Linked DNA regions of Sus scrofa. Each later gene encodes a partner of the first gene's protein in a complex. Links are inferred from orthologs where the notes say so. Each region holds a gene or a part of one and is shown on either strand. Other genes may lie near its edges. The genes, in order: POLR2F, TAF1A, RRN3, GTF2A1, GTF2F1, UBTF and GTF2H4.

The links.
Region 2: POLR2F (region 1) and TAF1A share a complex: the UniProt entries of both Homo sapiens proteins name them as parts of the pol I pre-initiation complex. The link is inferred for Sus scrofa from reciprocal best matches to the Homo sapiens genes POLR2F and TAF1A.
Region 3: POLR2F (region 1) and RRN3 share a complex: the UniProt entries of both Homo sapiens proteins name them as parts of the pol I pre-initiation complex. The link is inferred for Sus scrofa from reciprocal best matches to the Homo sapiens genes POLR2F and RRN3.
Region 4: POLR2F (region 1) and GTF2A1 share a complex: the UniProt entries of both Homo sapiens proteins name them as parts of the TBP-based Pol II pre-initiation complex. The link is inferred for Sus scrofa from reciprocal best matches to the Homo sapiens genes POLR2F and GTF2A1.
Region 5: POLR2F (region 1) and GTF2F1 share a complex: the UniProt entries of both Homo sapiens proteins name them as parts of the TBP-based Pol II pre-initiation complex. The link is inferred for Sus scrofa from reciprocal best matches to the Homo sapiens genes POLR2F and GTF2F1.
Region 6: POLR2F (region 1) and UBTF share a complex: the UniProt entries of both Homo sapiens proteins name them as parts of the pol I pre-initiation complex. The link is inferred for Sus scrofa from reciprocal best matches to the Homo sapiens genes POLR2F and UBTF.
Region 7: POLR2F (region 1) and GTF2H4 share a complex: the UniProt entries of both Homo sapiens proteins name them as parts of the TBP-based Pol II pre-initiation complex. The link is inferred for Sus scrofa from reciprocal best matches to the Homo sapiens genes POLR2F and GTF2H4.

What each region holds. Positions count from the first base shown.
Region 1 is NC_010447.5:9,914,784-9,918,901, reverse strand, and holds the start of POLR2F (DNA-directed RNA polymerases I, II, and III subunit RPABC2), read left to right. Parts: upstream 1-1,180; 5' UTR 1,181-1,292; coding exon 1,293-1,312; intron 1,313-2,996; coding exon 2,997-3,066; intron 3,067-4,118. Other genes in the region: C5H22orf23 (UPF0193 protein EVG1), read right to left, coding at 556-859. UniProt on the Homo sapiens protein: DNA-dependent RNA polymerase catalyzes the transcription of DNA into RNA using the four ribonucleoside triphosphates as substrates.
Region 2 is NC_010452.4:11,345,408-11,349,064, reverse strand, and holds part of TAF1A (TATA box-binding protein-associated factor RNA polymerase I subunit A), read left to right. Parts: intron 1-1,285; coding exon 1,286-1,352; intron 1,353-2,188; coding exon 2,189-2,312; intron 2,313-3,657. UniProt on the Homo sapiens protein: Component of the transcription factor SL1/TIF-IB complex, which is involved in the assembly of the PIC (pre-initiation complex) during RNA polymerase I-dependent transcription.
Region 3 is NC_010445.4:7,547,961-7,551,617, reverse strand, and holds part of RRN3 (RNA polymerase I-specific transcription initiation factor RRN3), read left to right. Parts: intron 1-1,493; coding exon 1,494-1,624; intron 1,625-3,657. UniProt on the Homo sapiens protein: Required for efficient transcription initiation by RNA polymerase I (Pol I). Required for the formation of the competent pre-initiation complex (PIC).
Region 4 is NC_010449.5:103,981,767-103,985,423, reverse strand, and holds part of GTF2A1 (transcription initiation factor IIA subunit 1), read left to right. Parts: intron 1-1,522; coding exon 1,523-1,843; intron 1,844-3,657. UniProt on the Homo sapiens protein: TFIIA is a component of the transcription machinery of RNA polymerase II and plays an important role in transcriptional activation. TFIIA in a complex with TBP mediates transcriptional activity.
Region 5 is NC_010444.4:72,690,488-72,694,144, reverse strand, and holds part of GTF2F1 (general transcription factor IIF subunit 1), read right to left. Parts: intron 3,480-3,657; coding exon 3,286-3,479; intron 1,881-3,285; coding exon 1,710-1,880; intron 1-1,709. UniProt on the Homo sapiens protein: TFIIF is a general transcription initiation factor that binds to RNA polymerase II and helps to recruit it to the initiation complex in collaboration with TFIIB. It promotes transcription elongation.
Region 6 is NC_010454.4:18,988,953-18,993,343, forward strand, and holds the start of UBTF (nucleolar transcription factor 1), read left to right. Parts: upstream 1-1,562; 5' UTR 1,563-1,765; intron 1,766-2,992; exon of another isoform or gene 2,993-3,080; intron 3,081-3,401; exon of another isoform or gene 3,402-3,560; intron 3,561-4,256; 5' UTR 4,257-4,323; coding exon 4,324-4,381; intron 4,382-4,391. UniProt on the Homo sapiens protein: Recognizes the ribosomal RNA gene promoter and activates transcription mediated by RNA polymerase I (Pol I) through cooperative interactions with the transcription factor SL1/TIF-IB complex.
Region 7 is NC_010449.5:23,397,813-23,402,159, forward strand, and holds the start of GTF2H4 (general transcription factor IIH subunit 4), read left to right. Parts: upstream 1-1,492; coding exon 1,493-1,632; intron 1,633-1,894; coding exon 1,895-1,999; intron 2,000-2,337; coding exon 2,338-2,469; intron 2,470-2,744; coding exon 2,745-2,841; intron 2,842-2,932; coding exon 2,933-3,021; intron 3,022-3,231; coding exon 3,232-3,343; intron 3,344-3,472; coding exon 3,473-3,541; intron 3,542-4,024; coding exon 4,025-4,108; intron 4,109-4,347. UniProt on the Homo sapiens protein: Component of the general transcription and DNA repair factor IIH (TFIIH) core complex, which is involved in general and transcription-coupled nucleotide excision repair (NER) of damaged DNA and, when complexed to CAK, in RNA transcription by RNA polymerase II.

The DNA.
Region 1 (4,118 bases):
AGTTCATGAACTAGAAGGGCAGATGGATGTTAATTCAACATGAATTCATAGGGACACACAAGGTATCTGACTACAGGTTACGCTAAGCCCAGTGAAGGAAAAGGCACTGGGAGTGTGTGGGCACCTAACGGTTGGTTGCACTGTGTTGGTGGTGGGTGGGGAGGAAATAAGGCTTCTCTGGAGAAATTGAAAGTGTGATATAGTATGTGTCACTGGGTCACCATGCTGTACAGTAGGAAAAAAAAAATTGTATTGGGGAAATAACAATTACAAAAAAAAAGAATAACCAAAAAAAAAAAAGTGTGATATAAGGGATGCATAGCAGTTAACTACTCTAAAATTCGTGAGTTCTTTGACTTTTGGCCACTTTCGAGTTGCAGGACCCCCAAACTTTCCTGAACCCCAGGCTTCTTATCTGAAAAATGAAAACAGCAATTGCAAGCCATAAGTCATGCAGGTGAGAACTGAGTTACAGAGGTTAACAGTGACTACCGCTCTCCTTTTGTCCTTTCATGCACTGACACCACCGCCCCGCCCCGCCCGACCACCACTGACCTCTGAGCAGCTCGCAGGTTCTTGGGGTGTAAGCGGCCGGCTTGGGGCAGCGCCAGAAGCCAGTTCCTTTGGTCACAGTCTCCACCCTCTCCTGGGAAGCCATGGGAGGGCTCTGAGGAGGGAAAAACGCGACGACACACCCCCTGTCTCCCATATACAACCTCTGCTTCCGCATCCCCAACACCACCCAAAGTTTGGGTCTGGCGGGGGCGGGGCCCGCAAGAGAATCGTGACGCCGCCCATCAATATCGCGACAGTGCCCAATCCTCCCACCCGGAACAGATCCACTGGCAGATACACACATGCGAACAGAGACCTCATCCAGACCCGGCGCCTGTGGCAGGGAAGCCACCTCTGGAGGAAAGGGGCGTTAGGGTAACCTTGCCCGTTGTGTGATAGACCCAAACGGAAACCTCACTCTTAGGTAAGACTCCGGCTGGGTGCCCACTGAGAGTGGCCGCTAGGCTCTGAAGGAGCACCCGCGCCGGAGCCCTGCAGGAATGCTTTTGAGATCTCCGCTGCTCAAGCTCTGGTTATACACTCTGGCTACCATGGTAACAAGCTCTAGCTTCTCGGCGCGTGCGCACTATCGCCCTGCCGATCCTCCCGGAAGCAATTGCCTCTAGGTCACAGCGCAGGCGCAGAGTGCGCGTGGCGCAGCTCGTGGCGGAGGCGCGCAGTTTGCGGGTCTCCGCGCGACTCTTAGCGCAGAACCAGGGAGCTGCGGCGCGGGCGTCATGTCTGACAACGAGGACAAGTGAGTGCGGGAGCAAAGTGAGCTTTGCCGAGCCTGGTCAAAGGAGGTTAAGGAGCCGTTAACCGAGGGGCAATGCGTGAGGGGACTGGGGGTATTGAGGGGCCCGCGGAGCTGAAGAAGGGAAAGGCGGGGGGACCAGGAGCTTAGACCTGGTCACAGGCTGGGCCAAGAAAAGCCCCAGTTTGAGGATCCGGAGAGAATCAGTGAACGTGGTATCTTTCCACAAACTTTCACGGAGTCGGGCTCTGTCTCTTGATTTGGAATTACTGAGGTGAATTAGGCATAGCTCCTGCTCTTCAGGTAGGGGGCCCTTTCTAGAAAAGGGGACAGGCCCACAGACGGATACTGCAGGGGTCGTGTGAATTGCACGAAGTATGTAAAAGAAACCCAGCGGAGGGTCTGGGGAGACTTGAGGTGGTAAAAGTCTGGGAGGCTTGCGGTAATCCAGGAAAAAAAAAGGAGTGACTTGTACTAGGTAATCGTAGTAGAGGTAGTGAGAAGTGGTTTTGATTTCTGGGTTTATTTTGAAGCTAGAACCGGAAAGATTCCCTGAATGTGTGGAGGAGAGACAAAAATAGAGGCGTCTTTAGCATAAGAGTATTAGTCAAAGCTAAGAGAGGGGGCGATCATGGGGAGGCGGCAGGGGGGTGGGTGGTCAGTAGAGAAGAGGAGATGAATGAGCGTCAGAGCATCCTAACTGTGGAGTGCCTGGAGGGAAGAGAAGCTGAGAAAGAGCCACTGTGAGGCGGGGGAACACCAAGACCGCGAGGTGTCCTTTTCTTTCTTTCTTTCTTGGTCGCCCTTGTGGCATCTGGAGTTCCTGGGCCTGGGATCAGGTCCGAGCCACAGTTGTGACCTATGGCACAGCTGCAGCAGTGCTGGATCCTTAACCCACTGTGCCGGGCCAGGGCTCGAACCTGTGTCCCAGTGCTCCAGAGATGCTGCCAGTCCTGTTGCGCCGCAGCGGGAACTCCAGTGGAGAGTGTTTTGAGTGAGAGGGAGTGATTCGGTGTGCCACCTGACAGATCAGGCTAAATGAGAACAAGAATAGACCAGTGGATTTAGCAACGTGCAAATCATTGATGAACTTGAAAGGAGTGGTTTTGGTGGAGCCAAGGAGCTGAAAGTCTTTGGGAGTGAGATGATGACAGAATGTGAGGAGAAGAATTGGAAATGGCGAAGATGGACGACTCTTTCATGAATTTTTCTCCCACAGGGGGGCATGGAAATAGGGCTCTGGAGGGAATAGAAAAGGAAGCTTTGGCGTTCCTGTCATGGCTCAGTGGTTAACGAATCTGACTAGGAACCATGAGGTTGCAGGTTTGATCCCTGGCCTTGCTCAGTGGGTTAAGGATCCGGCGTTGCCATGAGCTGTGGTGTAGGTCACAGATGCGGCTTGGCTCTGGCATTGCTGTGGCTCTGGTGTAGGCTGGTGGCTACAGCTCTGATTAAACTCCTAGCCTGGGAACTTCCACGTGCCGCGGGTGTGGCCCTAGAAAAGACAAAACCAAAAGAAAAGAAAAGGAAGCTTTGTTTTAGTAAGTTGAGGACATCAAATGACTTAATAAATTATTATTATAAAATGATTTACTCAGTAAGTGCATATTTATTGAGCACCTCCTGCTTATCAGATCTATGCCCTCTTTGATTCTTGTAAGTGATGCTCTGCTTTCTTCTTGTACAGTTTTGATGGCGATGACTTTGACGATGTGGAGGAGGACGAAGGGCTAGATGACTTGGAAAATGCCGAGGAGGTAAGTGTTTAGCCTTGGGCTCTCCTCTCGGCAGCCCAAGTTGCCAGATAGCCCGGCCAGTGATGACTGAATGCATCTGCTTCTTGTCTGTAGTGAGGCCAGTTAGAGTGAGGAGAGGTCTAGTCCTGGGTGGTGGAGGTGGCCCGCAGGGTGGGCCTGAAGGATTTTGTCCACTTGGACCACAGCCTGTAGCTTCTGGGGTGGTTAGTTTACTGACAGGTGAAATATCCCCTTCATTCATTGAGCAAACATGTGTTGAATGTTTATTGTGTACCAGGAGCGCTGCAGGGTGGGGCTACATAAAGAGCAAGGGGGAGAGTGACCTGGAATAAAGCTGGAGAGGTAAGGGCCAAGGTCAGGCAGGATGTTGTAGCCTGCAGGTGGTGGGAAGCCACGGACAAGTTTTGAGCTGGGGAGTGGCATGGTCCAGTTTACACTTTAAAGGAACACTTTGGGGAGTTCCCGTGGTGGCTCAGTGGTTGCAGGTTCGATCCCTGGCCTTGCTCAGTGGGTTAAGGAGCTGGCGTTGCTGTGAGCTGTGATAGTAGGTTGCAGATGCAGCTCGGATCCTGCCTTGCTGTGGCTCTGGCGTAGGCCGGCTGCTACAGCTCTGATTAGACCCCTAGCCTGGGAACCTCCATGTGTCGCAGGAACGGCCCTAGAAAAGGCAAAAAGGCAAAAAAAAAAAAAAAAAAAAGGAATACTTTGGGGAGGAGCAACAGTAGGAGAGGCCAATTCAGGAGCTCTCACGGACCTCCAGGTGAGACCTGTAGCTGGCACTTGGGTGCTGATACTGCTGGAGATGAGAAAACGGATGCAAGAGATATTTTGGTAGATTGGATGTGGGCTGAGAAAGTGGGAGATGCCGAGGAAGACGAGTTTCTGGTGAATGAGTTACTAGCTTCATGGCTAAAGTGGGGCTTTGTGTCCTGTGTGACCGATGGATGGGGATGCTTGTGTGTTAGTTTAGGCTGGAAGCCGAAGCCTCTCCTTCAGGATTTCCTCTGCCTCGCCCTCTGGGATAGCAGTACACTGTGTCAGAAACCTCCTTC
Region 2 (3,657 bases), on another chromosome or scaffold:
TAATTTTGATTAAGTTCAATTTATTCATTTTTCTTTTATAGTTAGTACCTTTTGTTTAAGAAACCTTTAACCAGAGTTCCTGTCGTGGCTCATTGGTTAACGAATCCAACTAGGAACTATGAGGTTGCAGGTTCAATCCCTGGCCTTGCTCAGTGGGTTAAGGATCCTGTGTTGCTGTGAGCTGTGGTGTAGGTTGCACACTCGGCTCGGATGTGGGGTTGCTGTGGCTATGGTGTAGGCTAGCAGCAACAGCTCCGATTAGACACCTAGCCTGGGAACCGCCATATGCCGTGGGTGTGGCCCTAAAAAAAAAAAAGACCAAATAAATAAATAAATAAAATCCCACTGCAGCAGCTTGGGTCGCTCCTGTGGCTCAGGTTTGATGCCTGGCCTAGCATAGTAGGTTAAAGGATCCATCGTTGCCACAGCTGTGGCTTGGATTCAGTCCCTGGCCTGGGAACTTCCATTTAAAAAATAAAAGATTAAGGAAAAGTAACAGATTTACTGGTTATTTTGTAGGAAATTATTTCTGTGTGAGGTTAAAGTACCCCAGCAAGTAGACAGAATAAATTATTTTTCCTTCTTCTTTTTTTTTTTTTTTTTTTTCAGCCGCACTTTTTTTTAGCTATGGCATGTGGAAGTTCTGGGCCAGGGATCAAACCCTCAGCACGTCAGACCCTAACCTGCTGAGCCACGAGAGAACTCCTCCTCTCTAATATTAACTTTGTTTAAAGGAGAAATACACTTGTAATCCTGTTTTTGGCATATTCATAAAAATAGTCCATCCTGTTCTTTAACAGAAGAACCATTGATTCTCCCTATTGTGTAAAAAGACTTTTAAAATATTGACTTTGAATACTCTTAATGTGCTGTGTTCCAGACCTCAGTCTTTCAAAATAACTACCCTTGCCTTTTATCTTACTGTGTGATCTTCTCTTTTTTCCTTTATTTTTTTCCTCATTCTTGGTTGCTGAAAGGAAACAAAGTTTTTAAGTGTGGTAAACAGTTTAACATGGTGAAAATTAAATGTTTCTGTCTCTCCAAACCCTCCCACCCCCCAAATAGCTATTTTGTTATGAGCAGGGAATATTTTTAAAAAAAATAGCTTTACATGGAATGCTTTTCAATACCAAAATTAAACGTGGATAAAAGTAAAGTATCTTTTAAATCTTTGATTCATTTGCTGAGGACACATTAGACACTAAAAGCTTTATTTGAAAGTAAGTTGAAATTAGAGAAATGCCTTTAGAATGTGTACAAATCACAAGATTATTCTTTCTTCCAGATTTTGTATCAGATTGTACCATCTCATAAACTGATGTTAGAATTCCATAGATTACTGAGAAAATCAGGTAATTCTCGTTTTCCATCTCTTTGTGCAGACAGGCTGTAGACTAGGGGTCGGCGGAGGACCCCACCTGTTTGTAGAAAACTAGGTTCTATTGGTGCTCAGCTGTGTCAGTTTAGTCCTGTACTGTCTGTGGCTGCTTTTGCGCTGCAACAGCTTGTGTAGTTGTGCCAACCTGTAAGGCTTGCAGAACAGATGTTTAGGGTCTGGCCCTTTGCAGAAAGAGTTTGCTGAGCCCTGCTCTAGAATGTCAGACAAGAGTTGGCAAATGGATTCAATTTCTGTAATTCATGTCCTTTTACACTTAACAGAGTGTCAGCTCAGCATTGGAGGAAATCCACTTATTAAGTCCAGTAGGCAGTGGGACTACCTCGGTGCCCCACTGGTAGAAGAGAACATGTATAAAATGCCCAAATAGGGCAGGCACTTTATTTATTTATGTATTTATTTTGGCCACACCCGTGGCCTGTGGAAGTTCCTGGGACAGGGATCGAATCTGAGCCGCAGCTGCAACCTACACAATAGCTGCAGCAGCACCAGATTCTTAACCCACTGTGCCACAGCAGGAACTCCTAAGACAGGTAGGATAATGTTATGAATAGTATCATAACATTCATAAACCCATGAAGAGATGGGACCGGGCACCCTGCTGTCATTAGCGTGGGCTGAACTGAGTTGTTCAGATTCATTGCAGGAGAATGTGATGATAGTGAATTGTTTTAAACTTCTAGCCAGACTAGAAGGCTTATGATGTAGTGGTCCTTTATCAACAGAATGTACTCTTTCATCTTTGCACGCTCGTGTGCTTTCTCTAACCTCTGATTGTTACGACCATTGCAGAGAAGGAAGAACACCGTAAACTGGCCTTGGAGGTATTGTTTGGAATCTTAGATTTTGCTGGATGCACTAAAAATATAACTGCTTGGAAATATTTGGCAAAATATCTCAGACAGACTTTAATGGGGTAAGTAAGAAGCACACGGTATCTGTTACTGCATCACCATAAATATTTCCCAGTATTTTAGAGGATATCAGTCCATTTTTAAAGTTCTTTGTTTACGTTTCTGCATTTCTCAAACTGTGTCTTCAGCTGTTTTCTTCTGCTTACATCAGAAGACAGGAAATAGGAAGTCACAAGTGAAACATACAAAAATTCTGTCTGGATTTGTTGTGCTCTCAGTATGAGTGCTGTTCCTTACCCCTGCCTGAGAGCTGAGTGTGCGCCTTCTGATGGGAGGGGGCCTGGAGGGGTCCCTGCCAGGCTTCACTGCTTCTCCGTGAAGCTCTTTGTGACTTGGGTCATCACCCTTTACGTTCACAGGGGAGCAGCTTTTCTCCCAGCTGTTTGCAGTCGTTTTCAGTGGCTTTTGAGGCCCTCATAAAATTGCCGTGGTTTTTCATTTAGCAGATCACTGCGAGTCCCTGGTGAGCTGGGTATTCAGAACTGTGCCTCTGAGCATGGCAATCATCGGTGTCATGCTTTAAGCACGAGCAAAGGAGCAGCCCTGGTCACTTTTACCTTGTGTGTGAGCAGAAAGGATATCGTTGATTTATTATATCTGTTTTAGTTGGTTAGGAAATTCATTATCAGTGGGAACTTTGCTTCAGGCTTCAGACCTGACTGGACCTTAGAGGTAGAAGAGTCCTGATTATAAGATGTTTCGGGGCTGCTCTGTTGATGTCTTTACTGTAAACCACTTGGCGTCTCTAAGCACTGTGCAGACCCTGCTGCCTGTAAGGTGCTTAAAGGCAGAGGACCACGCTGCTCATGTTTTAAACCTCTCGATGGTGCTACAGCAGGGGCCAAGCAGGTGCCAAGGAAGTCTTGACTCAGATTATTGATGAACACTTAGCATTGCCTGGGTTCAGCTGTCAAACCCCTGTGTTTATATAATAATGACATCTCCATTTGGATCGTTATTCTTTGTAGCATATAATTGAAAGTAAGGTTTTAAAGTAACTTTAAACATTTACTGTGTACCAGACAACATGCAGAGGTTTATATGACACCTGCTATTCTGCGGACCAGTCTAATCTTAACAGTGGTGCTATGAGGGGGTTCTTTGCGTGGCTCAGTGGTTAACAAACCCGACTAGGATCCATGAGGATGTGGGTTCAGTCCTGGCCTCGCTCGGTGGGTTAAGGATCCAGCGTTGCTATGAGCTGTGGTGTAGGTCGTAGACGCTGCTCAGATCCCGCATTGCTGTGGCTCTGATGTAGCCCAGTGGCTACAGCTCCGATCCGACCCCTAGCCTGGGAACCTCCATATGCCAAGGATGTGGCCCTAAAAAGGGAAAGTAATAATAACA
Region 3 (3,657 bases), on another chromosome or scaffold:
GGCATATGGAGGTTCCCAGGCTAGGGGTCGAATCGGAGCTGTAGCCACCGGCCTATGCCAGAGCCACAGCAACGCGGGATCCGAGCCGCGTCTGTGACCTACACCATAGCTCACGGCAACGCCGGATCATTAACCCACTGAGCAAGGGCAGGGACCGAACCCGCAACCTCATGGTTCCTAGTCGGATTCGTTAACCACTGCGCCACAACGGGAACTCCCTATTATTAGCATTTTTATGTTTTACTTTCCTGTTTGCATGGCTATATGAGTGTTTTTCTCAGTGATCCGGCAGAATCACACTGTAAGTGGTTTATTATCTGCCCTTTTCACCTATTGTGAACATTTTTCTCATCCCATTCATTGTTATTCTAAAATAGTTATTGCTAATCATATAGATTTAACTGGTCTCTCCTTTTTTTTCCTCCCCCTGCTATTTATGTATTTATTTATTTTTGCTTTTTAGGGCTGCACCAGTGGCATATGGAGGTTCCCAGGCCAGGGGTTGAACTGGAGCTACAGCTGCTGGCCTACACCACAGCCACAGCAATGTGGGATCTGAGCCGCCTCTGCAACCTACACCACGGCTTATGGCAACACCGGATCCCTAACCCACTGAACGAGGCCAGGGATGGAACCTGCATCCTCATGGATCCTAGTCAGGTTCATTAACCACTAATCCACAAAGGGAATGCCCAATGATGTTTTAAAACCACCCCCATGCTTTTTTTTTTGGCCATTATAAATAACAGTGTAACGAACGTTCTTATGCATATATCTTCGATTATTTCTGTGTGGTGAATTCCCAGCAGTTGAGTCGCTGGATCAAAGGGCTTCTTCTAAGTTGCGCTTTGACAGTTTATGGCATCACAGGAGTGTGTGTGTGAGATGAGTGCCTCTTTCTTGCCACTGCTGGGTTGTTATACGTGAAAAGGAAAACCTGTGCAAGATGAAGATGGCTTTTTTTTCCCCTATAGGTCAATGGATGATGTGTTGTTGTTTTTTTTAAATAAAATTTTATTGGAGTATAGTTGACTTAGAAAGTTGTGTTAGTTTCAGGTATACAGCAGTGTAAATCAGTTATACAGGTATCCGTTGAGGATGTGTTTCTTTTTCTATTTTTTTGGTCTTTTTTTTTGTTTGTTTTTTTTTTAAGGGCCACACTTGCAGCATGTGGAGGTTCCCAGTCTAGGGGTCAGATCGCAGCTGTAGCTGTCAGCCTATCCCACGGCTACAGCAATGCTAGATCAGAGCCCATTTGTTTGCAACTTATATCACAGGTCTCAGTGAGGCCGGATCCTTAACCCACTGAGCAAGGTCAGGGACTGAACCTGTGTCCTCATGGATACTAGTCTAGTTCATTAACCACTGAGCCATGACAGACCTCCATGACGTGTTTCTTAGTAGTTTTATTTTCTTTTTAAAAATTGATAAGTGAAACTGGTAGCTTGAAAATTATATCTTTATAGAACTGAAATGCCAAATTTTCTTTGTAGGTAAGATTGATAACAACAAGACAAAGGATTTATATCGAGATCTCATAACCATCTTTGACAAACTCCTGTTGCCCACACATGCCTCCTGCCACGTGCAGTTTTTTATGTTTTACCTCTGTAGCTTTAAATTGGTGAGTATGTCGTTAACATAATTGTAGCTTATTTTAGTCTCACCCACAATTTTCCATTTAAAAATGAGGGATGAGGGGATGGTATGGAAAGGGAGACCGAGGTGAGTATTTCGTTGTCTTCAGCTCATTTTACTTAGTGCCTCTAATAATAGCCAGCCCTTTTGGGGAGTTCCCATTGCGGCTCAGTAGAACCCGGCTAGTATCCATGAGGATGTGGGTTTGATCCCTGGCCGCACTCAGTGGGTTAAGGATCTGCATTGCTGTGAGCTGTGGTGTAGGCCAGCAGCCATTGTAAGCCCCAATTCAACTCCTAGCCCCAGAACTTCCATATGCCATACTTCTGGCCATTAAAAAAAAAAAATAAATAAATAAATAAAAAATAGGAAGCCCTTTTCAATATAAGGAAGAAGCAGAGGGCTTCATCTGAGTGCAGTTCATCTGAGTGCTCGGAAAGTGTCATCCCGTGTTTGGTCCGCTAGGCGGTGCTCTTCCTTTCAATTCAAGCCTTAATTAAAATCTCATATTGGATATTTAACTGTTTTATTTTCTTTCAGTTGCTCTTAAGTAGCCCAAACTAAATTTTTTTTAATCTAGAATTTTAAAACTTTAGGCATTGGTTTTCTATTTTGAGAACAAAGCAAAACCAAAAAAATAGAGGCCTCTTTTTGCAACTCTTTCGTAGCTTCCTCGAATAGTCTGGAAGGGTGTTGGTCCTGGGCAGGAAGGTTCACCTCACTCTGCCTCAAAGCGTGTGTTAGCAGCTTCTGAAAAGAGCTATTTGGGAAAAGATGGAGGTTGCATCCTTTGTTTTAAAAAAAAACTTAATTGGTCTGTTTTTTCCCCTATGATTTGCATAATGAGTCAAAAACCAACTGTAATTTAATCCCTATTTCTGTTTCTGGTTAAGTTGAACGTGTGCAGTCTGAGAGGCACTGCAGAAGGGTTCCCATGGGTGCAGATTATCGCTGGTTTCGAGTGCCGGCTAAATCTCAGAATCACTTGTAGAGCTTTAGAAATAGCCCGGTCACAAATCCAAGGGTTCCAAAGCCCTGAATCTATAGGGTTAGTTTTCATGTTCAGCTAGTTTTTAGATCCATTGAATTATTTAATGCTGGGGAACACCTTTTGTTGTTAATGTATATTATCTCAAGACATTTTAAAAATAACCACAATAACCGTATTCATGGAGTTCCCATCGTGGCTCAGTGGTTAACGAATCCAACTAGGAACCATGAGGTTGCGGGTTTGATCCCTGGCCTTGCTCAGTGGGTTAAGGATCCAGAGTTGCTGTGAGCTGTGGTGTAGGCCTGTGGCTACAGCTCCGATTGGACCCCTGGCCTGGGAACCTCCATATGCCGAGGGTGCAGCCCTAGAAAAGGCAAAAAGACTGAAAAAAAAAAGTATTCATTATCTGTTTAGTAGTATAACTGAGATACCAGAACTTTCTCGTATAAGTGAGTTAAAAATCTTAGGATTCTGATAGCCAGAATATCTTAAGAATTTAAAAAAAGATGAGGAGTCCCCATCATGGCACAGCAGAAATGAATCTGACTAGGAACCGTGAGGTTGCGGGTTCGATCCCTGGCCTCGATCAGTTGGTTGGGGATCCCGAGTTGCCGTGAGCTGTGGTGTAGGTCACAGACTCGGCTTGGATCTGGCATTGCTGTGGCTGTGGCGTAAGCCTTCGGCTACAGCTCTGATTAGACCCCTAGCCTGGGAACCTCCTTATGCCGAGGGTGCAGCCCTAAAAAGACCAAAAAATAAACAAATAAAAAAATTAAAAAAGAAGATGAGACCTGGGAGTTCCCATTGTGGCTCAGCAGTTAACAAACCTGACTAGCATCCATGAGAACTCCAGTTTGACCCCTGACCTCTGCTCAGCGGGTTAAGGATATGGCGTTGCCATGAGCTGTGGTGTAGGTCACAGATGTGGCTTGGATCTGGTGTTGTGTGGCTGTGGCATGGGCTGGCAGCTGTAGCTCTGATTAGACCCCTAGCCTGGGAACCTCCATATGCCATGAGTATGGCCCTAA
Region 4 (3,657 bases), on another chromosome or scaffold:
CTGGGGTTTTTTTGTAAATTTTTTTTATTATATATATATTTTTAGGGCTGCACCTATGGCATATGGAAGTTCCCAGGCTAGGGGTCCATTCGGAGCTGCAGCTGTTGGCCTACACCATAACCGTAGCAATGCAGGATCTGAGAGATGACTATAACCTACACCACACTCACAGCAGTGCCAGATCCTTAACCCACTGAGTGAGGCCAGGATTGAATATGTGTCCTCATAGATGCTAGTCAGATTTGTTTCTGCTAAGCTACAACAGCAACTCCATACTTCTATTTTCTCATCTATTTTTTTGAGTTGTTACTGCACTTTTAATCTGTAAACTTCTTCAGAGAAATACTGTCCTATTTTTTTGCTTTCCTTGCACTTAATGGCAAGTAATTACCATTTGTTGCCTTTTACTTATTACTAGACTTTCCCCACTTTTTATGTAATAACTATAATCATAAATATGTTCATTATAATAGATGTAATTAATATTTGTTGATATCTTCCTTTTGAGCTGTGGTTTACTTAATCCTAGATTCAGAAGCTGGAAGGGACTTTAGAAATCATCTGATTTGGTGATTCTTAGCTGTGGTTCTATGATTAGAATTATCTGGGGAGTATTTATTTATTTATTTGCTTATTTACTGCTTTTTAGGGCTGAACATGTGGTATATGGAAGTTCCCAGTTAGGGGTTGAAACTGGAGCTGCAGTTACCAGCCTACACCATAGCCATAGCAACACAGGATCCAAGCCATGTCTGCAACTATACCACAGCTAATGGCAGCACTGTTTCCTTAACTCACTGAATGTGGCCAGGGATTGAACCCTTGTCCTTATGGATACTAGTTGGGTTTGTTACTGCTGAGCCATGATGGGAACTCCCTGGGGAGCTTTAAATAAAATGAATAGGTTTTGTCTCATACCAAGTAAATCAGAATATTAGGAGTGGGTATTGGTATCAGTATTTTTATGTTACCAAGTTGTAGCTTGTAGCCACAGTTGAAACAGTGAGAGAGGTTAAATGACTTGCTTCTGCTACATCTTTATGTGTGATCTTAGTCAAAACTAGCACCCAAGGCTTTAGATTTCCAGTGCAATGATCTTCATAGGGAGGCAGTGTAGAATAATAATAAGAGCAGAATCAGAAAGCCTAGGTTCACATTTTGCTTCTTAGTGACATGACTATAAGCTTTGCAAGTTATTAAACCTTAATACCGCAAGCAAATAAAGTAATAACATGTGGCCTGAAATCTGGCATATACCTAGAAAATACTTGATATAAATGGAGCAGTTATCTTCAGAAAATCTTCTTTCCTTTGGAAATTTGAATGATAAAATGAAAATTTAGTGGATCAATACACTTACTAGTTAAACATTACTCTTGTGTTTTGGTAGCTTTAGCTATGTAGCGATACGGCCATTTTTAGTGATTCTTTAGCATTGGGGCTATTTCTATATACCAAGTAATAAAACTGAACTATTGATCCTCCAGCTAGTTTCTAATATATAGTTTTTCTTTTGCCTTAGGTGCTAACTCCTCTTCCTGGAGGGATTTCACCACAGACAGGAGTCATCATTCAGCCTCAGCAAATCTTATTTACAGGAAATAAGACACAAGTTATACCTACAACAGTGGCGGCACCTACACCAGCACAGGCACAGATACCTGCAACTGGCCAACAGCAGCCACAGGCCCAGCCTGCTCAACAGCAAGCTCCTTTGGTGTTACAAGTTGATGGTACTGGGGATACATCATCTGAAGAAGATGAAGATGAAGAAGAAGACTATGATGATGATGAGGAAGAAGACAAAGAGAAAGATGGAGCTGAAGATGGGCAGGTGGAAGAAGTAAGTTTCTAGTAAATGACTTGAAATGAGAAGATATTTAATCATTTCTTCTTTCACGTGGTGCCAAACTGATAAATTATATTTTTTCAGAGGCTGTTAGGGTACTCTGCAACATAGGCTTTTAAATATAAAATTAGATTGTTAGTAAGATTTTTAGATTGTTCTGGTTGTGTTTATAAAATATTATTTCTATAGCTGGTAACAAAAAAATAGATGTATACCAAATTAAGTTATATTTTTAAAGGTGTTGGAGACAGTGCAAGTAATTCTAATTCTTTGGCTTATGGATTCATGATGTGGCTTAAACATAAGACATTGGTAGAATAGATAAATGTAGTTAATCTTTTTCTTCTGTAATTTAAAATGGCGTTTTTACAAAAAGCTAAATAAATGTGACAAATTTATTTAGAACCTCATTTTGTTCCATAATCCATACCAGTTCCTTAGATAACCTTATATGCTCTTAGTGTCTATCTTCATTCTTTCATATTTATTTTTTGTTGTATATTAGTAGGAGCATATTTCTTTGTTTTTCCTCTGTATTCTAGCTTAGTTACTTGTGTTCAAGATGATGTTTGTCTGACCACAATTTTCACCATTAATTTCCTTTTGCAGCTTAAGATGTAATATTGTTTCTTAGTGCAGAGTTCTTCTAAATTATCTAAGTAATATTTCTTAAAGAATACCATTTCATTAAATATTGAATAGATACAATGAATAAATATTTTAAAGTATGAATACTCCAGTGTCCACATCTAGTTAAAAAAAAAAAACCCATTACTTAAATAAAGCCCCCTGGATCCTCCTTCCTACTCCCCATTCTCTTCCTTCTGCCATCAGAATAACCATGCTCAGAAATTCTGTTTATCATTAACTTGTCATTATATTTTACCGTATGTATTTATGTTCCTAAAGAGCATATTTTTTAGTTTTGCATGCCTGTTTATAATCTAAGTGGAATATTTATGTATTCTTCTGCAAGTTGATTTTTTTCCCCAAGATAGTATTCCTGAGGTTCATCTAAATTGTCACATATACATGTAATTATTTTCACTGTTGAATATATCATTTATCCATTTTTCTGGTATGTTGGGCATGAGGGTTGTTTCTACTTGTTAACTGTTAGAGTTACAAAATACTATGGCCTCTGTCTTCCGGAGACACATGTAAGAGTCTCTCTAAGTGTTACACCTAAACATTGAATTGCTGAATCATAGGGGATGCATATCTTCCTTACAATAAAGTGCCACATCGTTGTACTGATAACAGTTATCCCATTTAGTATGTAATGGTTTATATGTCTATATATCTTTACTGATACTTGATATGTCAGGCTACTTAATTTTTGCCAATCCTGATAGGTAAAAAATGTTTCATTTTGGTTTTAATTTTTAAATAATTTTTTAGTTTTTTTTTTTTTCGCTCTTGCGGCCTATGGAGGTTCCCAGGCTAGGGGTCTAATCGGAGCCATAGCCACCAGCCTACGCCAGAGCCACAGCAACGCAGGATCCAAGCCGCGTCTGCGACCTACACCACAGCTCACGGCAACGCCGGATCGTTAACCCACTGAGCAAGGGCAGGGACCGAACCCGCAACCTCATGGTTCCTAGTCGGATTCGTTAACCACTGCGCCACGATGGGAACTCCAATTTTTTAGTTTTGATACTGTTGAGGTGTAGCCTTTCTGTAATTGACTGTTAAGTATAATGTTTATTGTAGGCTTTTTATGGATGCCTTTTAAATCAGGTTAAGTTCCCTTCTATTCAGTTAACCAAGAGCTTTGCTTTGTTTTTTAAACTATAAATGGATGTTGA
Region 5 (3,657 bases), on another chromosome or scaffold:
TAAAAATCTATTGCATTTCTATACACTAACAAACTATCAGAAAGAATTTAAGGAGTTCCCGTCCTGGCACAGCAGAAACGAATGTGACTAGGAACCATGAGGTTGCATGTTCCATCCCTGGCAACACTCAGTGGGTTAAAGATCTGGCATTGCCATGAGCTGTGGTGTAGGTCGCAGACGCGGCTCAGATCCTGTATTGCTGTGGCTGTGGTGTAGGCCAGCAGCTGTAGCTCCAATTTGACCCTTAGCCTAGGAACCTCCATATGCTGTGGTGCGGCCCTAAAAAGCAAAAAAAAGAGCGAGAATTTAAGAAAAAAATCCTATTTACAATTGCATCCAAAAGAACAAAATACCTAGGAATAAATCTAACCAAGGAGGTAAAAGACCTATACTCAGAAAACTATAAGAAAGGGAGTTCCCAGAGTTCCCATCGTGGCTCAGGGGTGAACTAATCCAACTAGTATCCATGAGGACGTGAGTTTAATCCCTGGTATTGCTCAGTGGGTTAAGAATCTGGTGTTTCTGTGAGCTATGGTGTAGGCCGCAGAAGCAGCTCAGATCCCCTGTTGCTGTGGTTGTGGTGTAGGCCAGCAGCTGCAGCTGTGATTCAACCCCTAGCCTGGGAACCCCCATATGCCGTGGGTGCAGCGCTAAAAAGACAAAGAAAGAAAAATAAAGGGGGAGTTCCCTGTTGGTCTAGTGGGTTAAGGATCCAGCATTGTCACAGCAGCAGCTTGGGTCGCTGCTGTGGTGTGGTTTCAATCCCTGGCCTAGGAACTTCTATATGCTGTAGGCACAGCCAAAAAAAAAAAAAAAAAAAAAAAAGAAATGAAGCACTGATACACAATACGACACAGATAAATCTTGAAAACATGATGCTCAGTGAAATAAGCCAGACACGGAAGGACAAACATTGTCTGAACCCACAGTCCTAGAGGAGTAGAATCCACAGAGATAGGAAGTAAATGATCGGGGAGGAGGTGGGGAGTTAGTGTTTAAAGGGGACAGAGTTTCAGTTTGGGAAGATGAGAAAGTTCTGGAGCTGGATGGTGGGGATGGCTGCCCAACAATGTGAATGTAACTTCATGACACTGAGCTGTGTACTTAAAAATGGTAAATTTGGAGTTCCCGTCGTGGTGCAGTGGTTAACGAATCCGACTAGGAACCATGAGGTTTCGGGTTCAGTCCCTGCCCTTGCTCAGTGGGTCAAGGTTCCGGCATTGCCGTGAGCTGTGGTGTAGGTCGCAGATGCGGCTCGGATCCTGCGTTGCTGTGGCTCTGGTGTAGGCTGGCAGCTACAGCTCCGATTGGACCCCTAGCCTGGGAACCTCCATATGCCGCGGGAGTGGCCCAAGAAATGGCAAAAAGACAAAAAAAAAAAAAAAAAAAAAGGTAAATTTTATGTTACATGTATTTTACCAGCCATTGATCCAGCCATGGGACCTCTTACCTGGAGGGAGCCCTGTAGGCCAAGGAGACCCCCCACCACCGCTGCCCCGTTCTGCCAATTCCTGTTCCAGGGCTCAGCTCAGCCATCCCTTCACGGCTCTTACAGGGCCGGGTGCATCCCTGAGGGCTTCCCACTGGTCCAGGAGCTCCCTGAGGGGCTGGTGAGGCTGGCTTGGTCACCACTGAGTCCCCACCTCTCAGCCCAGATCAAAGTTAGGGGGACACACCCCATTTCCAATCGTTTTGGCTCCCACACTCACCTCTCCCACTCTTCCTCTGCCTCCTCGGCTGTGAGAGTGCGGTGCCGGGCCAGCGGTGTGAAGTTGTACCAGTTGTGCACGGGGAAGGCCTCAAAGGCCCCATCGGGGCACTGGGTAAAGATGTAGTAGGATGTGTTTTCTGTCACGCCTCCCTTCTTTATGCCCTTGAACCTGCAGGAGTCGAAGGTCATGGTCTGCCCGTGGAAAAGGGACCAGCCCCAGCCTCAGCCCCAGGCCCCCTGCCCACATCCCAGACCTGCCCTCTCTCCAGAGCCACCTGGGTTCTCCAGCAAAATCTGAGGCTGGAAAGCTTCAGGCTGGCCCTTCCACTGTCTGAGCCTGGATTTCGACATCTGGAAAGCAGGGCTCCAGAGTTCCCATCATGGCACAGCAGAAACGAATCCAGCTGGGAACCATGAGGTTTTGGGTTCCATCCCTGGCCTCGCTGAGTGGGTTAAGTGAGCTGTGCTGTAGGTCTCAGACGCAGCTCGAATCTGGCGTTGCTGTGGCTGTGGTGTTGGCCGGTGGCTACAGCTCCAATTAGACCCCTAGCTTGGGAACTTCCATATGCTGAGAGTGAGGCCCTAAAAAAACAAAAGACGAAAGCAGGGCTCCCCACCTTGAAGAGAGGGCTTATGGCTCCCTGCCTTATACATTTCATGGTCCCTTCTGGAAGGACTGCGTTAGATTAGCTGTGAAGAGCAAGGACTCTACAGTTAGACCCCTCTGCATTTGCTTCCAGAATCTTCCTGGCCTTCACTCTCACTTTTTTTTTTTTTTTTTTTCTTCTCTAAGGCTGCAGGTGCGGCATATGAAGTTCCCAGGCTACAGGATGAACTGGAGCTGCAGGTGCCAGCCACAGCCACAGCAACACCAGATCCAAGCCGCATCTGCAACCCGCACTATAGCTCACAGCAACACCAGATCCTTGACCTACTGAGGGAGGCCAGGGATCGAACCTGCATCCTACTAGTCAGATTCATTTCCCCTGCGCTGCAATGGGAAATCTGACTCTTTTTTCTTTTGGCCACACATGCTGCATGCTGAGGTTCCTGGGCCAGGGATGGAACCTGCACTACAGCAGTACCCAAGCCACAGCAGTGACAATGCTGGGTACTTAACCCATGGAGCCACCAAGGAACTCCCACCCTCACCCTTTTCTGCCCCACAAGTCCTGGCCCTCTTCCTAGCAATCTTAGAGGGTCCCTCCCACCCACCTGGCGCGCATAGCCCTCCCAATCTGCCCACTCTGTCAGTATCATGCTGTGACAGTCCCTAGGGCTGGGCGTTCTTTGCCTCCATGCTCTCTGTTCTGCCTAAGGGCCCTCCAGCCACCTAACCTCCAGTGCTCCCAATCGTCCAACCCCCAGGTCCCCAGCAGCCCCTCAGTGTGAGCACCAGGACCTGAGCCTCGCCCTCCTGCATCCTGCCCCTCCGACCTCCTGCCCTGGCATCCACTCGGCTCATCTTCCCAAATAAAGGATAAGGTGTCACCCACACTGTACAGCCGGACGTGCAAGTTCCCGTGCAAGTTCAGCCAGGGTACCCAAGGAGTGAGGGCGGGAAAGGCACTTACTTCCGGCCTGCCTTGCCATTGATGCGGAGCAGCCAGGGCTGGTCCTCCGGCCGGAACTCCTTCAGGACGATGCCGTACTTCTTCCTCCGGGCCTCCTCCCGGAGCTTGCGGTTGAACTCACTGCCAGCGCCTGATTCTGGCATCTCCTCCTCTTGGTAAATCTTCTTGTTACTCAGGTCACGTTCCAGCCGGGCCTGAGGGATCAGGGAGCAACACCTCTCATGAGGGAGCCTGCCCTCGCCCCCCTCTGCCCCTGCCAACGACACCCCTTCCTCCCTTCCAAGTTGAGAAGTGGCCATTCAGAGCTGATTTCTGGCTTGGCCAAAAGGTGCTCAGTGACTGTGGGTAAAGGGATCTAGGTTAAGCCCTGTA
Region 6 (4,391 bases), on another chromosome or scaffold:
CCAGGCCTTTCGATCCCCGGCCCGCAGGGTGGTAGGAGAACAGAGGCCTACGAGGAGGCTGCCCCGCTGCGGCTTGCGCGGCGAGGCCCGGGTGCCAGGCTCCCCTCTTGGCTCCCCGCCGCCGCTGCCGGGGGTGGGGGTAGTGGAGGGTGGGGGGCAGCGCCCGCAGCCTGCTTTCCCAGGGCTGGCCGAGCCTTTTTGACAAGCCGATTGCGTGGCGGGGATTGGCTGGTCCGGGCGTGACGCCGGTTAACAACAAAGGTGGAGTTGGAAGAAATTAGATTAAAGGAAAGGGAAAAAAAAAAAAAAAAATTAAAGGGGGAGCTGGCAGGGGACAGGCGGCAGAGACCGAAGGGGAGATGCACGAAGCGAGGTCTCAAGCTCCAAGTTCACCCCGGATACCCCTTTGCCTAAACCCAACGGGGTTTTTGCTCTTTATCCAGACGCCGGCCCAGCCACTGAAGCCGGGGTGGGAGGGACGGTTGCTGCTTCTTGAGAAATACCCCCACCTCCCACCCTGACACCCCCTTGCTACGGCCCAGGGGGAGAACTTTTTGCTTGGACTTCCTCGGATCCTAAACCCGTAGGAGGTGAGGGGCACTGAGAACAACGAGGGGCTCGCTCCAAAACCCGGAAGGCCCTGGCGGAGCCCCGAGATCGGACTAGGCGGGGTGCTCCCCGGGTTTTTCAATGTGTTGCAAGCCTAAGAGCTATTTGCTTGCTTTTATCTTTTTCTTTCTTTTTTGTTTTTTTGTAACACTCCCCCTTGCTCCCCACCCCCCACCCACTCCGCTCTGGCTCTAGGGTTGCAAAAGCAAAGAGCAATAAAAAAAAAAAAAAAAAAAAAAAAAAAAAAAAAACCCGCGCACACACTCAGACACACACCAGTGGCGACAGGGGAGAGTTGGAAAGACGCAGGAGAGAAGCAGGAGGCAGGAGGCAGCAGGGAGGGAGCAATGGGAGCGGGAAGCCGGCAGGTTCCCTCGCAAATCCCCCTCCGGCCCCACGTCGCCTCGCCGGCCCCGGCAGGGGAGCGAGGATCCGGGCAAGCAGATGGAGGAGTGGAGCTCGCTCTAGGCAGCGGGCTTGGCCGGAGAATGGAGGAGCCGCCAAGCGATCGGCTGATTGGAAGAGAAACGCAGAGCGATGGAGGCGGGGGTAGGAGGACGATTTCTCTGCGGGGACTGGCGGCGGCGTATACGCCCGGGTCGGGCGCTGCAGAGCTTGGCTAGCTTTCAACCCGCGCTCGCCGGCTACAGCCCCGCGCGCCCCCACCCCTAGCCCTCCCGGCGGCTCCGCAGGTGAGTGCGAGCTGGGGGCAAAAAAAGACCCGAAAGTCTCAACAAGCCCGCCCTGCCAAAGGAAAAAAAAAAAAGAAAAGCATTTTTTCCTTTTCTTTTTTTTTTTATTTTCATGCAACCCCCAGAGCGGTGGGAGGGAAGGGGTGAGGCTGAGCCGCTCGGAGGAGGCGGAGGGGCCAGGCGAGGCCGGAGTGGCCCGGGAGGCGGCGGCGCCGAGGCGGCTCTGACGGGCGAGCGCTCGGAGCGGCGCTGCGCTGCGCCGAGGCGGGCGGGCGGGCGGGCGGAGCGGGGCGGGCGGAGCGCGGCGCGTGGGGCTCGCCATTAGCCGTCGCTCCGCTTCGCCATCTCGGGCTTTGTCTGGCGACTCGCTGCCCCGGCGTCGGCTGCGGCGGAGCTGCGGCTCGGCTCTTCGGCCCGCAGCACCCCTAAGGCGCCCCTGGCCCGCACTCCCATTCACACGCTCGGTAAGTGAGCCCCAGCGCCGCGGATTTCGGGGGAGAGGGGTTGCTGCGAGCGGCGGCAGCGACGATCTCCATGCGCCCGGGCAGGCCTGGGGAGCCATGCCGGGCTGGATTGAACCAGCTCCCAGAAAGGCTCCTCCGCCGGAGCCCGTTGCCCCCTCGCCGTTTGCGGAGTGTAAGCACAGGATTTTTTTTTTTTAATTTGCAAGGAGGATATTTTGTAGGAATAATTTTTTAAAAGTTCGTGTGTGTGCTGCTTGGCAGCGAGGCGACCGCGAGGCAGGCTCCGAAGCCTGGCGCCGCGATCGGCGGGCGTGCGCCCCAAGCCGGTGGCTACGCTCCGGGGATAAGGGTGGGCGCGGACCGCCCGCTCCGGGAGGCAGGCGAGGGGAGCGGGTGAGGGCCGGCGTGGAAACCTGAATCTGAGCTGGGAAGACTTAAGAGAGAGCTCCGGAGCAAGGCTGCAGGCACCCCCCGAGCCTCCCTGGCCGCCGGGGGGCCCTCCGGGCACCCTCTCTGCGGCCGCGCCTCGAGCCCTCCCTCCCGCGCCGGCCGAGCCTGCCAGTTCCCCCGCGGGTCTGGCGAGGTCGCTCTCGGCGCCCGCCCGCCCGCCTGCCTCGGCTCCGAGCCCCGCCGCCATCCGGGCGGCTGCGTGTCTCCCTGCCCCGGCCCCCCCCCTCTCCGGCGGCAGCAGCCGCCGCCGCCGCCGCCACCACCACCACTACCACTACCACCACCACCACCCCCTCCCCTCCTTCCTTCCCTCCGCCTCGGCCGCCCGGGTCCCCCAGCTCCCGCCCCTCCTCCCAGCTGCCCCCCGCGGAGCCCGCCCGGGCAGGCTGTGGGAGGGAGCGGAGCCGGCGAGGCGGGCGGGCTGGCGCTCGCTCCCCGGGGGTCGGTGTGCGCTCTACGGGGAAGGACGCGCTCGCTGCCCCGCTTCTCCCGCCCCCCCTCCCGCTCCTCCTCCTCCCTTCTCCCTCCTCCTCCCCGCTCCGGCGGCGGAGGCTGCGGCGGCGGCGGGGGGTGTGCGAGCTGAGGCCGGGGCCGGCGGGCGGGCGGCGGGCGGGCTGCCTGCAGGCGGAGGGCGCTGTGCTTTGTGCTTTTCGCCGCGAGGAGCAGCAGGCAGCAGCCACAGCCGCCGCCGCCGCCACAGCAGCAGCAGCCGCCGCCCCAGCGCTGCCGCCGCGCCCGGAGGAGGAGCCGCTGCCGCCGCGGGAGGGAGCTGCGGCTGTGCCCGGCCGAGCGGGGGAGGGCGCCGCCGCTCAGAGCCGGGGAGGGAGCCGCCGGAGCGGGAAGCCTGGAGGCCGCGCTGTGCCGGGTAACCGAGGCGGCTGAGGACGCGCGCTGGGGTCGGGGCCGGGCGGCGGGGAGCGAGCCGCGGGTACGGTGGACGCCCGGAGGGGACCCGGGACGACCTCCGGGCAAGGGACTGGGCGAGAGAGGGCCAGGGCACTGGAGAGGACGCCGAGAACCGGGGGAGGGGAGGGCAGGAAGCGAGGCCCGAGCTGAGTCCCGGCAGCAGGCGGAGGAGCCCGCGCTTCTCCGAGCCGGCAGGCGCAGTTCTCGCCGGCCGCCGGAGGGGGCGGCGGGGCCGGTGAGCGCTGCGCCCCCGCCTCCCGGCCGCCGTCCTCCCGCCCTCTCCTTGGCTCGGCTCCCCGGAGGCCGGGGCGGGGGCGCCGGCAGGGCTGGGCCGCAAGCTCGAGGGAGGAGGCGGCGGTTCCCGCCGTGGTCGCGCCTCTGCGCCGGGCTCCTCCGTGCGCGTCGGGGTGGCTGGGCGGCGGCGGCGCCTCTACCCGGGGTGGGTGGCTCGGGGGCGGGGGGCAGGCCAGGCCGCTTCTCTCCGGCTGCTCGCCCGCCCAGGCGGGCGGGGACGGCGTCGCGAGCCCGCGTGGGGGGGGCGGCGGGAATCCGGATCCGGTCCCCGGGGGAGGTGCGGCCGCTGCGCTCCGGGGCCGGCGGCGGCTGCGCTGCGTCCGGGTCCCCGCCGGGTTGCGGAGGCGGGGGGAACCGGCCGGGGGGAGCGGGAGGAGGAGACTGTGGCGCGTGCCCGATTCCGCGGCCGCGCGCGCCCTTTACCCGCCCTTCCTCCTCCCCCGCCCTCCAGCCTGGGGCCTCCCCGGGGCGGGCGCACCGAGGAGGAGGAGGAGGAGGAGTTTTTTTTTTTTTTTTTTTTTGGCCGGGGTGGGGGAAGGAGGGTGGAGGGCGGGCGCTAGCTGCACGCGGGAGCGGGGAGCAGTCTCTCGCGTGGGCAGGGGAGGGCGCACGCCGCGGAGCCGGGCTGTAGGGGCTGGGGGCAGTGGGAGGGAGTTAGGAGGAAGTGGAGGAGGGCATTCCCACCCCCACCGACTCATCTCCCAGGACCTTGGCTTACAGAGTGGGGACTTGGGGCTCCCTCCCCCTTTGGGGGAGGGAGGGGATAGACAGTTCCTCACTTCTCAGCCCGTCTGAGTGAGGACTGCTTTTTTTTTTTTTTTTTTCCTCTTTTTCCCAAAAGGTGAGGTGGCTTTGACCCCGGCCTGCCTGGCCAGCACGACCCGAGGAGGTGGCTGGACGGCTGGAGAATGAACGGAGAAGCCGACTGCCCCACAGACCTGGAAATGGCCGCCCCCAAAGGCCAAGGTAGGAGCCC
Region 7 (4,347 bases), on another chromosome or scaffold:
TTAAAGGAATTTGGGGAAACTTACAGATCTGGCTCTGGCTTAAGACGTTCCCTTCCCTTAACAAGCAGTAGTTTAATATATCAAATCAGACCAAACAATTGTTTGTTTTTTTAAACTGCATTTATTAGGATCTTCTAACAGGGGGCGGGGGGGGGCGGGGAGGTGGATGGAAGCATGGAGGACGTGACAATTAAGATTTACTGAGTATTTACTTGCCAAGGAAGGCACACCGGATGGAGTTAACTCCTAATTCGAGAAAATGCTCTGGAAAGTGCATTATTCCAGTTTTACGAGGAGCAACTGAGCTCAAGGAACCCAGGTTTCTGCATCTCTGAACCTGAGCTCCTCACCACCCAGTGGTTTCCGCACCTCGGATAGGAAGACCTCGGGGAACTTCTATTCTCAGGGTCCCCACATGATCTCGGGTTGGTTAGACTCGCCGTTAGCCGAGTGGGTGGAGAGCGATGCGGAACGAACAGCCAGACCTCCGGAGCCTCCGGCTCTCTTACGTAAAAGCCAGCCTCTCTCCGCTTGGCTCCCCGCAGTGCCTTTTGGGAGTTGTAGTCGGACGCGCTTCAGCTGGCTCCCGGGCTGGGAAGGACAAGACTCCAATTCCCAGCATGCCCTGTGGCGAGCGAGTGCAGCGCCGGTTCTTCTCCTCCCTACCTCTCCACTCCTCTTCTGAATCCTCCACTCTGGACTTGCGTGGGTGAAATCCTTCGTCCCCCTCCCCATATTTTTCGCTCACTTTCCGCCATTCTTTCCCCTATTCCTGAGAGCTAATGCGAGACACTGGCTCCGATTAAGCGACGGCTTAAGACTCGGAGTGCACGAGGAGGGGGTCGACACTGAGTGGTAAGGGGGCTGGGAGAGAAGGGGTGGCGGGAGGTATAAGAAGGAGAGAGTTGATGAGAGACGAGCATTGGGAAGAAAGTAGGGGACGAGTTAGGAGGAGATCATACGGTGTGAGTCAGGGTGAATGGAGTGAAGTAGTCTTAGGGACGGGAAGAGGAAAGAGGTGGAATTAGATTTATGAGACTTGGAGGGGAAAGGTAATTATTGCCGTTCCCAGCACGAGGAGTGGGGTCAAGAAATAGATGGAGAGAATGGGCAGATTGAAGTTTATAGGCTGATCAGACCAGGAGAGGTCGAGGGGAGAGAGAACTGGGCTCAGAAAACTTTCTTTGCCTAGGGTGTAGATAAGTCACTGAAATACAAAATATTTTTGCAAATATGGAACAGCTGACAATTCTTTCACTTAGAAATTGGAGAAGACTTGAGTTGAGATCAGGAGTGCAGTGAGGAGGGAGGAAAGAAGAGGAGGGTGGTCAGGTTTGGGAGAAACAAGAGGAGATGAGTGACGTGAAAAAGGAAACTGTAGAAAAGATGAATTTTTGCAGGGGCCAGTGGATCTGGAATTGGAATGAGAACGGTGAGGGGGTGACACTGGCATGGATTTCGGAGGTCCACTAACACTTGCATCTCTCAGGTGATGGAGAGCACCCCTTCAAGGGGTGGACTGAATCGAGTACACCTACAATGCAGGAATCTGCAGGAATTCTTAGGGGGCCTGAGCCCTGTTGTATTGGACCGATTGTATGGGCACCCTGCCACCTGTTTGGCTGTCTTCAGGTGAGGACCCCGTTCATGGCAGGGACCATAGTAGGGAAATGTAATGAGGCCTGCAGACTGCAATAAGTTATCATGGGTAGAAGCTTAGCTCTGGGGGGCTTGGAGACTAAAATGTGTCAGGCCCAAACAGATGGAGATGTGGGGGCAGGAAGACTGGTAAAAGGGCCAGGGGTGAGATGAGATGTTTGAGAGGCATTTGAGGGCAGGGATGCAGATCTGAGGCAGTTTCTGATATTAACGTTTTCCCTCTGCCCCCTTATAGGGAGCTCCCATCTTTAGCTAAGAACTGGGTGATGCGGATGCTCTTTCTGGAGCAGCCTCTGCCACAAGCTGCCGTAGCCTTGTGGGTGAAGAAGGAATTCAGCAAGTGAGTCTCTGCTGCACTTTCAGCCAGATACAAATTTCTCAACAGCCAGGTTTCCCAAACTGCTGGAGTATATTCAAGGGAACACCACTAAACTTGTAATTAAACAAGTTTGGGAAACTACGCATACTCCATTTTGCCTCTTGGAGAGTTGTGATGTCTATAACAAGGTTCTGGTAGGTGCTGCAGTAAAGAAATTTGCCTTAAGAAGATACCAATTTCACTCTGTGAAACAGTGTTCCAAGGACCACCAGTTCAGAAAAGGCAGAAATGGTGGTCTTTATGGGCTTCCTTCCTTTTGTTCTCTGGACACTCCCCTCACCTCTCCTCTTCTGTTCCAGAGCCCAGGAGGAAAGCACGGGGCTGCTGAGCGGCCTCCGTATCTGGCACACCCAGCTGCTCCCTGGTGGCCTCCAGGGCCTCATCCTCAACCCCATCTTCCGCCAAAACCTCCGCATTGCCCTTCTGGGTGGGTATGTCACTTCCATCTTTTCCTAGGCCAGGCAGGGGAACTAGTGATTAAACTGCTCATTAAACTACTTATTAAGAGGCCCTGGGGGACCTCTCTGGAACCTTGTGGGCTCCACCTTTGGGAGCTCCTTTAGGAATAAGTTGGACCAGACTTTGCTACGTGGTATAGGATATGTCTCCCACTCGTGGCCCCTGGAGATGAGGGTAGAAAGAGGGAAGGGGGGTGGTGGGCAGGGAACACAGGCAGGGTTCCTTACTCTCGGCCGTACTGGCATAGGGGCAAGGCCTGGTCTGATGACACAAGTCAGCTGGGACCAGACAAGCATGCCCGGGATGTGCCCTCGCTTGACAAGTATGCTGAGGAGCGATGGGAGGTAAGGACTTGGGACTCTGTGTGTGTCTGCTTGTGCTCCCATCCCAGGGCCCTTAGAGGCATCTGTCTCTCTGGTCTCTTCTGTTCCTCAGGTGGTCCTGCACTTCATGGTGGGCTCCCCCAGTGCAGCCGTCAGCCAGGACTTGGCTCAGCTCCTCAGCCAGGCTGGGCTCATGAAGAGGTGAGGAAGACAGAGGTACAACAGCTCTGTTTTGCCGTCTCCTCGAGTCCCTGCTAACCTGAGTGTTTGGGTCGGATCAGGATTGGAGGGGGTTGGCTGCAAAAGGAGAGCTGCGTAGAGCATGGCCAGAGATAAACCAAGAAAAATGTGAGCGGACAAGTGGAATGGTGGCCTTTCTCAGCAAACCTCTGCCATGGTCCCTTTCTGTAGTGCTGAACCTGGAGAGCCGCCTTGCATTACCTCTGCGGGCTTCCAATTCCTGTTGTTGGACACCCCGGCCCAGCTCTGGTACTTTATGTTGCAGTACCTGCAGACAGCCCAGGTGAGGAGGTCGGGGGCTGCCTGCTGGCATGCTCTGCTTTTCCCAGGACCCACTGAGGGCCTGCTGCCTGTAGACTCTGTTCCCCGGTTTTCTCTCATTTCCTCCCCACATCTGCCCGTTCCTCCTTAGAGTCGGGGCATGGACCTAGTGGAGATTCTCTCCTTCCTCTTCCAGCTCAGCTTCTCTACTCTGGGCAAGGTAAGCAGGGGGCTGGAGCTAGTAGAGGCTTGGGTGGGCAAGATGAAGGGTAGAGAGATGGAAAAGGAAATGAGGTTAGGGGTCAATAGAGTGAAAGAGAAGAATGAACAAAGAGGAGTTCCCGTCGTGGCTCAGCGGTTAACAACCCAATTAGCATCCATGAGGACGCAGGTTCAATCCCTGACCTCGCTCAGTGGGTTAAGGATCCCGTGTTGCTGTGAGCTGTGGTGTAGGTTGCAGACGCGGCTCGGATGCCGCGTTGCTGTGGCTATGGTGTAGGCCAGCAGCTGCAGCTCTGATTGGACCCCTAGCCTGGGAACCTACATATGCCACCCGTGCGACCCTAGAAAGACAAAAAGACAAAAGCAAAAAACAAAAAAACGAAGAACACCAGGGATGGGAAAAGTGGGAAGGAGCATATGGGGTTGGGGAAGGGAGAATGGGCTGGGTTTTGGACCCCAGCCGGCTACCTCTCTTCCCCAGGATTACTCTGTGGAAGGTATGAGTGATTCTCTGTTGAACTTCCTGCAACATCTCCGTGAGTTGGGCCTTGTTTTCCAGAGGAAGGTATGAGCGCCCAGATACATGGCTTTTAGGGAAGAGGCAGGGTGGTATGTTGCCTTGGCCTTTCAAAAGGAACAGGGGTCTCCGAAGGCAGAAGCAGGGGACAGTTGCCAGGACAGAATACTGGGGTCCCTCGGGGGAGGGGGAGAGATGTTGGGAGCTGAAGTTCTGTGCATTGGGAGGGATCTGATGTATCTGGAGGAAGATGAAGGGCACTGACCCTGAGAGAGGGCTTATTGCTT